Linked DNA regions of Saccharomyces cerevisiae S288C. The protein of the gene in region 2 purifies or fractionates together with the protein of the main gene of each other region. This does not show direct contact. Each region holds a gene or a part of one and is shown on either strand. Other genes may lie near its edges.

Region 1 (3,758 bases), on a different chromosome or scaffold from region 2:
ATAACCATCTTCTTCTTCATTTTTGTTATCTTCTTCGTTTACAGGGCTCGTGGTTTTAGCACCGTCTTTGAGAGGTCTTTTCCTGCTATTTTGATTAACATTGTCAGAATCATCAGGTAAAAACATCGTAAAATCTACAACAGTACCATAATCATCTTTCTTGATTTTAGCGGGGTTAAATGGGAACATTTTATGTTTTGAAGCGGCACTTGGTTGAATTATAATGTCTACAGGAACTTCCGTATTTTTTTTCGCTGCTGATTTCTCAGAGTTATCCTTGAGTAAATTCAACAAATTGTCGTTTTCTTCCTCTTCATCATCATCTTCGTCACCCCCCATAATATGATCAATCGGTGGTACTCCATTGACGTTTTCCACTAAAATGTCTTGATTTCTCATTGCCCTCTCTCCGTTGGTATCATCTATGATTGCGTTGCCGTTAGCCAGTTTCTTAGACTCTCTTTTCACCAGTAGAATTTTCTTATTTCTGTCCCTTTTCTTTTCTTTAAGCTGTACTTTAAACGCCTCTGTTTCCTCTTTACTCAAGGGTTCTTCTTTTATGGTGTCTATTGAAATGTAATTATCGCAGAGGAATGATTTACCATCTTCAGGAAATGTTTTCCAATTTCTTTCATCTTGTTCAACAATTTCTAGTATCTTGTCTAAAGACGACGCACATTCAAAGCTCGGCTTGGTCAAAATCAAGGTTGTCTTCTCAGAATTACCAACTTTAATTATCACTTCATTAATCAAAGCTCCTACCTCAGATACGAAGCAAATCTTTGAACCAGGATATTTACTCAATTCGTTTGGTGCGATGATTTTGATCCGTGATCCAATTTCAAATGGAGAAGTATTATTTCTGTTTTCCCATGTCTTAAGTAGTGAAGGGGACAGCCACTCGAGCATTGATTTGGCATATGTTAGAGTTCTTCCTCTCGCGTAAGACAGAATAAGTACAGGTACTTGTGTGTGCGCATTGATCTTTGTGCTTTCAAATAATAACTCATGAACTTGTGTGAACAGGTCCAGAAATTTGCCACTCATATCTACCGGTATTATAACGGACCCATCCGAACTCAAACCTTTCTTTAATGTATCTTTAAAGATTTTTGAACGTTTTTTAAACGGTTGAGAGGAGCCAAACCTGTCCAAAGTAGTAATTATTGCAGAGGGCCTCATCAAAGTTGATAAGGGCTTACCAGTGGCGTCCAATATAGAAGCAGCATTTAGTATGTTATCTCTAGTGTGGTTCCATCGCTTTGCATAAACCAATTTCTCTGAGTATGTGCTAATGCACCAAATAGAACCACCTGGACACACACCAGCATTGTACGCCAGTAAAGTCAATCCATCGTATCTTGATCGTAGATCTACCAATTGCGAGTACTTCAAAGGTACAATATGATCAAAAGATATCTCAATATCTTCAAGATCGAGTTTATTTGTGTCATATGGACCTATAACACCTGCAGATGCATATGAATCTATGGTGGAAACTCTCCCTAAGTTGATAACAGGAAGAGTTGCGTAAACTTGAATTCTGGATATGAAATGCGAGGTAAAATTATAGTACAGAAGGGAATGAGCACCTAAACATTCAATTGTTGGTTGTGATAGTATTATTACATCAATTTCCGGTATCACTTTTTCCCAGTACTTGATGCATTGCTCATACGATACTTTAGATGGATTCCAACCGGGATCGATTAACAAGGTGACGTTATCAAATCGTACCACTGAACCAACGGTGGTTCCTGATCCATCATCACAGCAATTGTATTTATAAGTCATATATATTCGTCGCCCTCAATGTATGTTCTTCATTTCATCTTCTGTGTTATTTCTTTAGCGAACAAATATTCGTGAATTCGATGTTAAAACTGCAGATTGTTTAAGAAAAGCGGGAAAACGCCGCCGAAAGAAAAAATCTTTTTCTAGTAATATTTCTTATTACAACAAACATTGAACATTGAATGACTTCAATCCGTAAGGGTTCATTGCTTGTATAGTTGGACTATATGTCATAGGTGAATCATTATTTCTTGAACTCAGGTTCGCTTTACTCAGTCTAGTGCACGTGAGATTACACTGCAAAAACTCCATGAACCAAAGAACTTACCTTAGACTTGCATTTGGGAGCAAAGTTTACACTAATTAATGCTTTTTATTTTTATTGTCCCAACCTTCTAATGTGTGGATTATTAATGGGGTAAGTTGAACTTCTATTACTTCCATTGAACGTTTGAGAAGTATCATTGCTTAGGAGGTTTGCCTAGCAAAAATAGCCGCTGAAATGATGCTTGTCCGTCGGGTAATGATTATACGAACGGGTAACGGAAGATATGGAAGCTAACCCAACAGAGAGCAGTCAATAATGGATCTTGCATAAGAATGTACGGCCCGATCAAGCATCCTTACAGCTCATTCACGAAGTTTCCTTTTCAAGAAAATTTTGAAGCCTTAAAGGAATCCAAGCAGGAAGACCATATCAAACTAACATATACATTCTGCCTCGCTGCAACCTTGTTGTCAAAATAATGGATGAACACGAGGAAGCAGTCATCTTCGGTATCTGCCTTGTGGACTTTCATCACAAAAGAGGCCCTGAAATAGAATACTGGTATGGCTTACCTGAGGGCACCCAAAGTGCAGAACTATGGCCAAATTTACCCTTCCAGGCCCTTCCTGATGGTTCTCACTCGTTTGAAGAAACATTTACTTATTTCACATTACTATATGATGAAAGAAGACAAAGGAGCCCTCCCAACGGGGCAACTGATCTGAGTGATGATAGCATCAATGACAACACGACTTTGTTTGCCATATCTTGCTCGAGACAGATAAAGAGTGATGAATTGGTCACTAAAGATAAGGATGTAACACGATCTACTGTACAGAAGGCAATTGTAGTCATCTCAAGGCAACCAATCTTCGGTCAAATCAAGGACAAACTTAGTATTGTGACTAATGCTTTTTTCTTGCAGCATGATTTTGGGGACAGGAAGATAATCCAGTCTTTATACGAAAACCTGAAGTCGATTTACACGCCTGCATCATTGGTCAGAAATGCCGAAAATCGTCTTTATATTGGGTTATGTCTGAGAAAGATACTACATGATTTTAAGAGAAACGCTTTAGTCTTATTGAAAGCAATTATGCTTGAAAAAAAAATTATAGTTTACGGCAACGACGTGGAAGCTTTGTGTAATTTACAGTTCGGTCTGATCAGCTTAATTCCGGACTTGATGTCAAATTTGCAGGATTCTGGCAGTCCTCAGTTGTTTCAGGATATTTCGAAATTAAATGTTGTGGACTCGTTTAAATCAAGCAATCGAGAATCAGTGTTGAGATTCTTAGGTTTTCCATTACCGATTTTCGAAAAAGGTGGACTATTTTCACCCTATACTCCACTGCAGCAAATGAATGACATACGGTCAGAACGTACTTTGTTTTTTATGATTGGAAGTTCCAACACATTGCTTGCTGAACAAAAGGAGGAACTGTGCCACATATTTGTCAATACAGACAATTCCACTGTAGATATTCTGGACAAGACTTTGAACCCCGTCCTCCAATTGTCAAGTCATGATAAAAAATGGATTGAATCTATATCTGGAATTGTATCAGACACATGGAACGAAAATGATGATGAAACTCCAAAAAACTCTCAATTTGAAGGCAGTGAGGATTTCATTAGGTGGCAATTCGAGGACTATTTAACGGGGTTACTTTCCAGTGTTAAATTAAGTGATTAT
Region 2 (3,758 bases):
TTTCACCTAATTATAGAAACGCGTACTAATGTTTTTTGTTATTGAAGAAACTGGAAATGACTAAAGAATACTCAGGCAACGATGAGCATAGCCAAAAAAAAAAAAAAATTTGTTAAAAGTGATACTGGTAACTTTAATACAATATCCAAAGTTTATGATATCAAGTTGGAAACGGTGTCGATGTGGACTTTGTTAGAGGTTAATCTGTATTTGTGACTGGGCTCTGCCAAACTTACTATCTTCTATTATCTAGGCTCAAGTAAGTAAGATGAAAAAAAGAAAAAGAAAAAAAAGCAGAAAAAAAGCAGAAAAAACAGTAAAGTGGGTGTGAGTGCACTGGAAAGCCTGTGTAATAAGTTTTTGATGTACTGTATTCCTTGCGAGTATTATCACAAAGCTCTACTGTGTTTGCACTGTGGGCGTATAGGGATATCGCGAGGGCAACGCAAAACTAGCAAGATACACATATTCCATACATTAAAGCGGTAATTTTTAGTAGTTAATTTCGAAATTTCAAACCCGGCAATGATACGCACATTAAGAAAAGGGAAAAAAAAAAGAATAAATTGGCCATAGAAAAATTCTGTTATCCACTAGACAGAAGTTTGCGTTCCATACTGTCAGAGGTGGCATTTTACATAACAATAGTGACAAAAAATAAATTTCAGAAGGAAGGCAACATAAGTTTTTCTAATCCTAAAATCTTTCGATTTTGTATCAGAGATTGTTCACGCTAATGTCATTCATCATAGTAGATCATTTATCTTTCACTGCGGAGAAGTTTCGAACGCCGAAACATGCGCACCAACTTTCACTTCTACAGCGTTTGACCAAAATCTTTTGAACAGAACATTGTAGGGTGTGAAAAAATGCGCACCTTTACCGCTAGCCCAAGAGGGCACTACAAAATCTAGAGTTGTACTTCAAACGTACATGTAATCACCTTGTATATACTCGAAAGAAAACATCAAGTTTCTGTATAAATATGAGTGAAAGCATAATCATACATTATCTTTTCAAAGATGAAGAGTGGGTGAATTTTGAGATAATTGTTGGGATTCCATTTTTAATAAGGCAATAATATTAGGTATGTAGAAAGTACTAGAAGTTCTCCTCGAGGATTTAGGAATCCATAAAAGGGAATCTGCAATTCTACACAATTCTATAAATATTATTATCATCATTTTATATGTTAATATTCATTGATCCTATTACATTATCAATCCTTGCGTTTCAGCTTCCACTAATTTAGATGACTATTTCTCATCATTTGCGTCATCTTCTAACACCGTATATGATAATATACTAGTAACGTAAATACTAGTTAGTAGATGATAGTTGATTTTTACTCCAACAAAAGAATTACAGTCAGTGGCTGTTTGCTGACATTTCATTGCTTCCCTTACAACCTGATTTCCATTCGAGTTGAAAGGTTGAGAAAAATTGCAAGACTTCTCTCTCATCTACCTTCCCCTTTTCTTGAAGACAAGGTGAGAGACAATTTAGTACTAAAGCTTTTGCGGTTGTTATTCAATTGAGGTAGATACCTGGCAAAACATTTCTTGTGAGCACAACCTCAATTAAAGTTAGACAAGTAGGTGCACTATTGGTTGCTTGTTGGCTCATCTCGTTGAGGAATGTAATAACTACTTGTTATTAACCTGTTTTTGTGCCATCTATAGTGGAGAGCTTATTGCAATTTGTTTTTTATTTCTTGACTGCATATATCAGTCTTTGACAGGCTGCATGGGGATGACAGTTAGAAACTAGCCAAATTACCCCTTATGTAGATAACAATCATTGCTTATTCGCTCTTCCCCCATTTTTTTTCTTGCTCTTGCTGTTTTTTCTTTTAGCGTTCGTTTCAAGGAACAAGAGAGGGAAAAAAAAATCAAAAGTAGAAAAGAAGAAGAAAAAAACAACGTAACACAAGTTAACACCACAACTGAAAAAAAAAATAAGAGGTGAACGAACGAGTAACTGGGGAGAGGAAAGCAGATTACCACAATATACATTCAAATTAAAGAAATGGACTCACAACCAGTTGACGTTGATAATATCATCGATAGATTATTGGAAGTAAGAGGATCTAAACCTGGTCAACAAGTTGATCTAGAAGAAAATGAAATCAGATACTTATGTTCGAAAGCCAGATCTATATTCATAAAGCAACCCATTTTACTAGAGTTAGAAGCCCCAATTAAAGTATGTTAATGTTGAACTTCGCAGTCAAGAGATAGAATGCCTAGAGCTTCAGGTGTTTTATGTGTTCTACTCCTGTTGCGGCAGTAAGATAGTTACAGCAGTTATTTCCGTTTGACTGAAAGAATTTACCAAGCATCTGATGTTAGCCTACTCATATGTCGAGATAGCCGAGATAATGTGTGTGTTTAGCTCTTCATTTTTCTATCTTATTAGGCATTTTTTTACCAAGATTTCCTTATGTTTTGTATCATCATCCGGCCGGCGCCTCCCATATTCAGAAAAATCCCCCTTGCTCACACTAAAAAAAGAAGGCATTTTTTCGTTATGAAGAAAACGAATCTTTTTTTTTTTTGAGCCCGAGAGAAAGGTCGGACGAAAACCAAGAAATGTGGATTTGCAGAAGGCATTGGGAGAAATGAAGCGTTTTTGACAGCAGTAATTGTTCTCTTAAAGTCAACGGAATGAGCTAGATTTAGTGACAAATTCATTTACTAACTTATTTTTTTCTATTTTTTTTTTTTTTAGATATGTGGTGACATTCATGGGCAATACTATGATTTACTACGTCTATTTGAGTACGGTGGATTCCCGCCAGAATCTAATTATCTATTTTTGGGTGATTATGTCGACCGTGGTAAACAATCCTTAGAGACTATTTGTCTATTACTGGCTTACAAAATTAAGTATCCAGAAAACTTTTTCATTTTAAGAGGGAACCATGAATGTGCTTCCATTAATAGAATTTACGGGTTTTATGATGAATGTAAGAGACGTTATAATATCAAACTTTGGAAAACTTTCACGGATTGTTTCAATTGTTTACCAATTGCTGCAATTATTGATGAGAAAATCTTCTGTATGCATGGTGGTCTCTCACCAGATTTGAATAGTATGGAACAGATCAGAAGGGTGATGAGGCCAACAGATATTCCCGACGTTGGCTTATTATGTGACTTATTGTGGTCAGATCCAGATAAAGATATCGTAGGTTGGAGTGAAAATGATAGAGGTGTTTCTTTCACTTTTGGTCCTGATGTAGTGAACAGATTTTTACAGAAACAAGATATGGAGTTGATTTGCAGGGCCCATCAAGTTGTGGAAGATGGTTATGAATTCTTTAGTAAAAGACAATTGGTGACACTTTTCAGTGCTCCGAATTATTGTGGTGAATTTGATAACGCTGGTGCAATGATGAGTGTTGATGAAAGTTTATTATGTTCTTTTCAAATTTTAAAGCCAGCCCAAAAAAGTCTACCAAGGCAAGCTGGGGGTAGAAAGAAAAAATAAATAGATTCACGTCCTAAATCAAAGTTTAAAAAGGAAAATACTTATTAACAAGAAGAGTAGTAGAAGAAAAATACAAGAAACATAAACGTAGAAAACTTTTAGTCAATTCTTTAAGCGAAGAATACGAAAGAAACATCAAGAAAACAAAGGAAGATGCAATCATCACTCGTCATATACACAAATAATTCCCTTTAGTGCAACAAACCGCGAAAAAGCATAAGAAACATAAAAAAAATATAAAAAAAAGGAGATAATAATAAGATGTG
Region 3 (3,758 bases), on a different chromosome or scaffold from region 2:
CGATCTGTTGATTGTAGATTTTTTTTTTTTGAGGAGTCAAAGTCAGAAGAGAACAGACAAATGGTATTAACCATCCAATACTTTTTTGGAGCAACGCTAAGCTCATGCTTTTCCATTGGTTACGTGCTCAGTTGTTAGATATGGAAAGAGAGGATGCTCACGGCAGCGTGACTCCAATTGAGCCCGAAAGAGAGGATGCCACGTTTTCCCGACGGCTGCTAGAATGGAAAAAGGAAAAATAGAAGAATCCCATTCCTATCATTATTTACGTAATGACCCACACATTTTTGAGATTTTCAACTATTACGTATTACGATAATCCTGCTGTCATTATCATTATTATCTATATCGACGTATGCAACGTATGTGAAGCCAAGTAGGCAATTATTTAGTACTGTCAGTATTGTTATTCATTTCTTAGGGCTTGCGTCAGCTTGATGAGGATTTGTGATAGTAGCCGTTGGAGGCATGAAGGGCATTGGAAACATGGGGAAAGGAGGTATACCGAAAGGTAACGGTACTGGTGGCACTGGCGTACCGCCGTTATTTACAGAAGTTGGAAGGCTGGTATTGTTGTTCAAGCCAGCGGTGCCAGTTGGATCCATCAACTTCATTTTCTTAGTTTCTGGCTGGTTGCCATCTTTAGAGCTTCCGTGTAGTTCCTCTTGTTTCTTCAAAAACGTTTCGACCTCCTTTTCCTTGTCCTGGTCGGGTACTAAAGAATCGAGAAGGATATCGCGGGTTTCGCAATTGGGGCATACAAAGTCGCTCTCTACCAGTGCATTTTCCAGCGCCTCTTTTGAGAAATCTATGTTACAGCACTTGCTTGTCTTTACCGGCTGCCTCAAAAGACCACCTGTCAAGGGACATTTTAAATCGTCAGGAAGATCTTTGAAATGGCCTTTTCTCCAAATGGTTTCATCACCATCAATTTGACGGTTCTCTCTTTTCCTTTGGTAGTCTTCCCATGATTGTTTGTCTTCAACTTGTACCACGAACTTGCCTTCGTCCGTAATCATAATCTTTCGCTGAGCCATCTCTTCCGGTGTCATTGTCTCGGGATCTATTTCAATGGATTTTAAAAACTTCTTTGGAATACCTGTGGTTCTTCTGATTCTTTTTCCTTCAAAATTTGGATCGCTGTTAGTTGGACAATTTTTAATCCAGTGGTCTCTACCCCCACAACGATAGCACATATAACCTGGTGGCGGTGGGCCTTCGTTTTCTTGTGCAGAATTCTTATTCGTCTGTGACTTGAAAAAAACAGGTGTGGCTGCAGACATTTCTTCTTGCGTTTGTTCCCATTGATTTTCTTGTGTGGCAAACATACTAGCAATTCTTTCTTCTTCCGTTGTACCACTAACATTAGCAGTGGTTGTAGCAGTGTGTTGTCTCTTTTGCAACACTCTTGGCCTACCAGTAACATACCTTGTTGCGTTCCCAAGAGCTGCTGCTCCCACATTCCCTTTAAGTCGACTGTGTACGGAGAATGATTTAATTGCTGGAGATCTTTTTACTATGACACTAGTAGATCTAGGTATAACAAAGGCATCATCGTCGTATTCCTCTTCTGTATCTGGGTTGTAAATTTTTAATTGGAAATCTGTGCCGTCACCTAGTTTGTTCTCTTGAATAATTTCCCTTTTCAAATCAAATACTGTCAGGCCGGTACCATCAAATAAAATTCTTGATGTGTTTCGTTGAGACTTAAAGCGGTAAAATATCGTGCTACTCATGTTACACTATTCCAGTCTCTGCCGATATGATGAGAGCTACCGAAATTTCAGTACCCTCTTGATTGTTCTTGCTTATTTTATGTTGGCCATAAACTTGGTTATTAACAATATGCTTGATATTCATCATCATTGTATTAACTTTCAGTAAAGTTACCCGCCTGAATTACAATGTTGTGACATAATATAATGGCATAAGGAAGGTTATTGCACCAGCAATGGATTAAGGTAGTTATATTTACCGCTTATACACTACATGATAATGAATATATCAAGTCGATCATCCTTTTTTATGTTTTAAAATACTTTACATACATAACTGTGTTTTTACTTTATCTAAAAAAAGAGTTGTTATGAATTTGTGATTATTTATATTTCCAAATATTTATGATCTCAAAACGTAAAAAAACATAAAAAAAAAGTGTTAACCAAAGAAATTGAAGAAAGATAGATAAATAAGTTCCAAAAGTTCTATGAATTTTCAGGTTGCATGGCAGATAATGTCTTCTGCTAGGCAAATGTCAAACATGAACTGAATTGTCAATACAACATAATGTTAGCTTCATTATTGTTGTATTGCCGGGTAAGCTAATTTTACTAATAACAATATTTTCTTAACGCCTTAGAATACTTTGTGAAATATTCGACCGAATAAGGAATAAGTAGAAGATGCACTTAGAGGTTAGGAGGGGGACACAGGCTATCGAAGATAACAGTAAGGATAAATGGCAGTACCCGGGTATTACGAATTATATCGTAGAAGTACTATAGGGAATAGTTTGGTGGATGCTCTTGATACTTTAATTAGTGATGGGAGAATAGAAGCGTCGTTAGCTATGCGTGTTTTAGAGACATTTGACAAAGTGGTGGCTGAGACTTTAAAAGACAATACCCAATCTAAATTGACTGTGAAAGGAAACCTGGACACATATGGATTTTGCGATGATGTTTGGACTTTTATCGTAAAAAATTGTCAGGTTACTGTTGAGGACAGCCACCGCGACGCCTCCCAGAACGGGTCTGGAGATAGCCAAAGTGTAATTTCGGTGGATAAGTTGAGGATTGTGGCATGTAACTCAAAAAAGAGCGAGTAATATCTATGCTATATGCCCGGATGCTTTGTTGACCAATAGTTACATTGAAATTTCTCTATTATCTCCTCTCTTCTACCGCTTTTAATACAAGCTCTAGGAACAGTGTCATGAAATAATGTTTTGTATTCTTTTATATTAGGGAACTTGTGATTCTTCTGTTTTTGTTTTTTATTTTTCCTGTCTGTACATTCATGTAATAATAATTTAGATTTAAAGTTCAATCTTTTTACTTAAAAAACAAACGAAGATCATGGTGCTAATATTCGGATTTGAGTTGATCAATTTTTTAAATGAAGTATTAATTTACAGTTTATATATTCACTATAGACCTCGTAACTCATCTCTTAAATCAGTTAAAGTAACCACTTTACTTCCGTTTAGAATCCATTGATCGTATGCACTATCAAAGCTAGATAAAACGTTGATGACCATTAGGTAACATTTTCTCTTTCGAATAACATCAAGATCAGCTTGCATTAATATGTACTGGTACAGTACTTCTGCAGCAGCCCTCTCGCTTTTGTTCAACATTCTAAAACAATAAAGTTTCTTAAAACACTCCCAATCACCACTCCGTAGATTTTGTGACAGAATACTATCCACTATTTTAATATCTACTGTACGAAGATATAGCTCGCCATTGTCTGAATGTGCGTTACACAAGCGCAGAAGTGTGCTGAAAAAATCTCGTGAATATATGTCTTCCTGTAATAATAATTGGAGAAAATTTGTTCTTACTGTGTCGGAAAGACACTCGTGACCCAATCTCAAAACATCCAAGACTTCTTCAAACATTCTGAAGTGGATTAAAAGATTTAAATAATGAATATGCTGTTTTTCTTTGAAGTCTTGCAGTTCTTCAATCTGAATTTCTTTTAATGAATATTCTGCTGACTTAGATATACATTTCAAAGCAAATTCTTGGCTGTTA

The links.
Region 1: the proteins of GLC7 (region 2) and CFT2 purify together in Saccharomyces cerevisiae (affinity purification with mass spectrometry; 5 studies listed by BioGRID, with this or other methods). This does not show direct contact.
Region 3: the proteins of GLC7 (region 2) and MPE1 purify together in Saccharomyces cerevisiae (affinity purification with mass spectrometry; 5 studies listed by BioGRID, with this or other methods). This does not show direct contact.

What each region holds. Positions count from the first base shown.
Region 1 is NC_001144.5:376,021-379,778, reverse strand, and holds the start of CFT2 (cleavage polyadenylation factor subunit CFT2), read right to left. Parts: upstream 1,795-3,758; coding exon 1-1,794. Other genes in the region: AVL9 (Avl9p), read left to right, coding at 2,541-3,758. UniProt on the Saccharomyces cerevisiae protein: RNA-binding component of the cleavage and polyadenylation factor (CPF) complex, which plays a key role in polyadenylation-dependent pre-mRNA 3'-end formation and cooperates with cleavage factors including the CFIA complex and NAB4/CFIB.
Region 2 is NC_001137.3:430,467-434,224, forward strand, and holds GLC7 (type 1 serine/threonine-protein phosphatase catalytic subunit GLC7), read left to right. Parts: upstream 1-2,028; coding exon 2,029-2,205; intron 2,206-2,730; coding exon 2,731-3,492; downstream 3,493-3,758.
Region 3 is NC_001143.9:327,708-331,465, forward strand, and holds MPE1 (cleavage polyadenylation factor subunit MPE1), read right to left. Parts: upstream 1,737-3,758; coding exon 411-1,736; downstream 1-410. Other genes in the region: TOA2 (transcription initiation factor IIA subunit gamma), read left to right, coding at 2,459-2,827; NUP120 (Nup120p), read right to left, coding at 3,149-3,758. UniProt on the Saccharomyces cerevisiae protein: Component of the cleavage and polyadenylation factor (CPF) complex, which plays a key role in polyadenylation-dependent pre-mRNA 3'-end formation and cooperates with cleavage factors including the CFIA complex and NAB4/CFIB.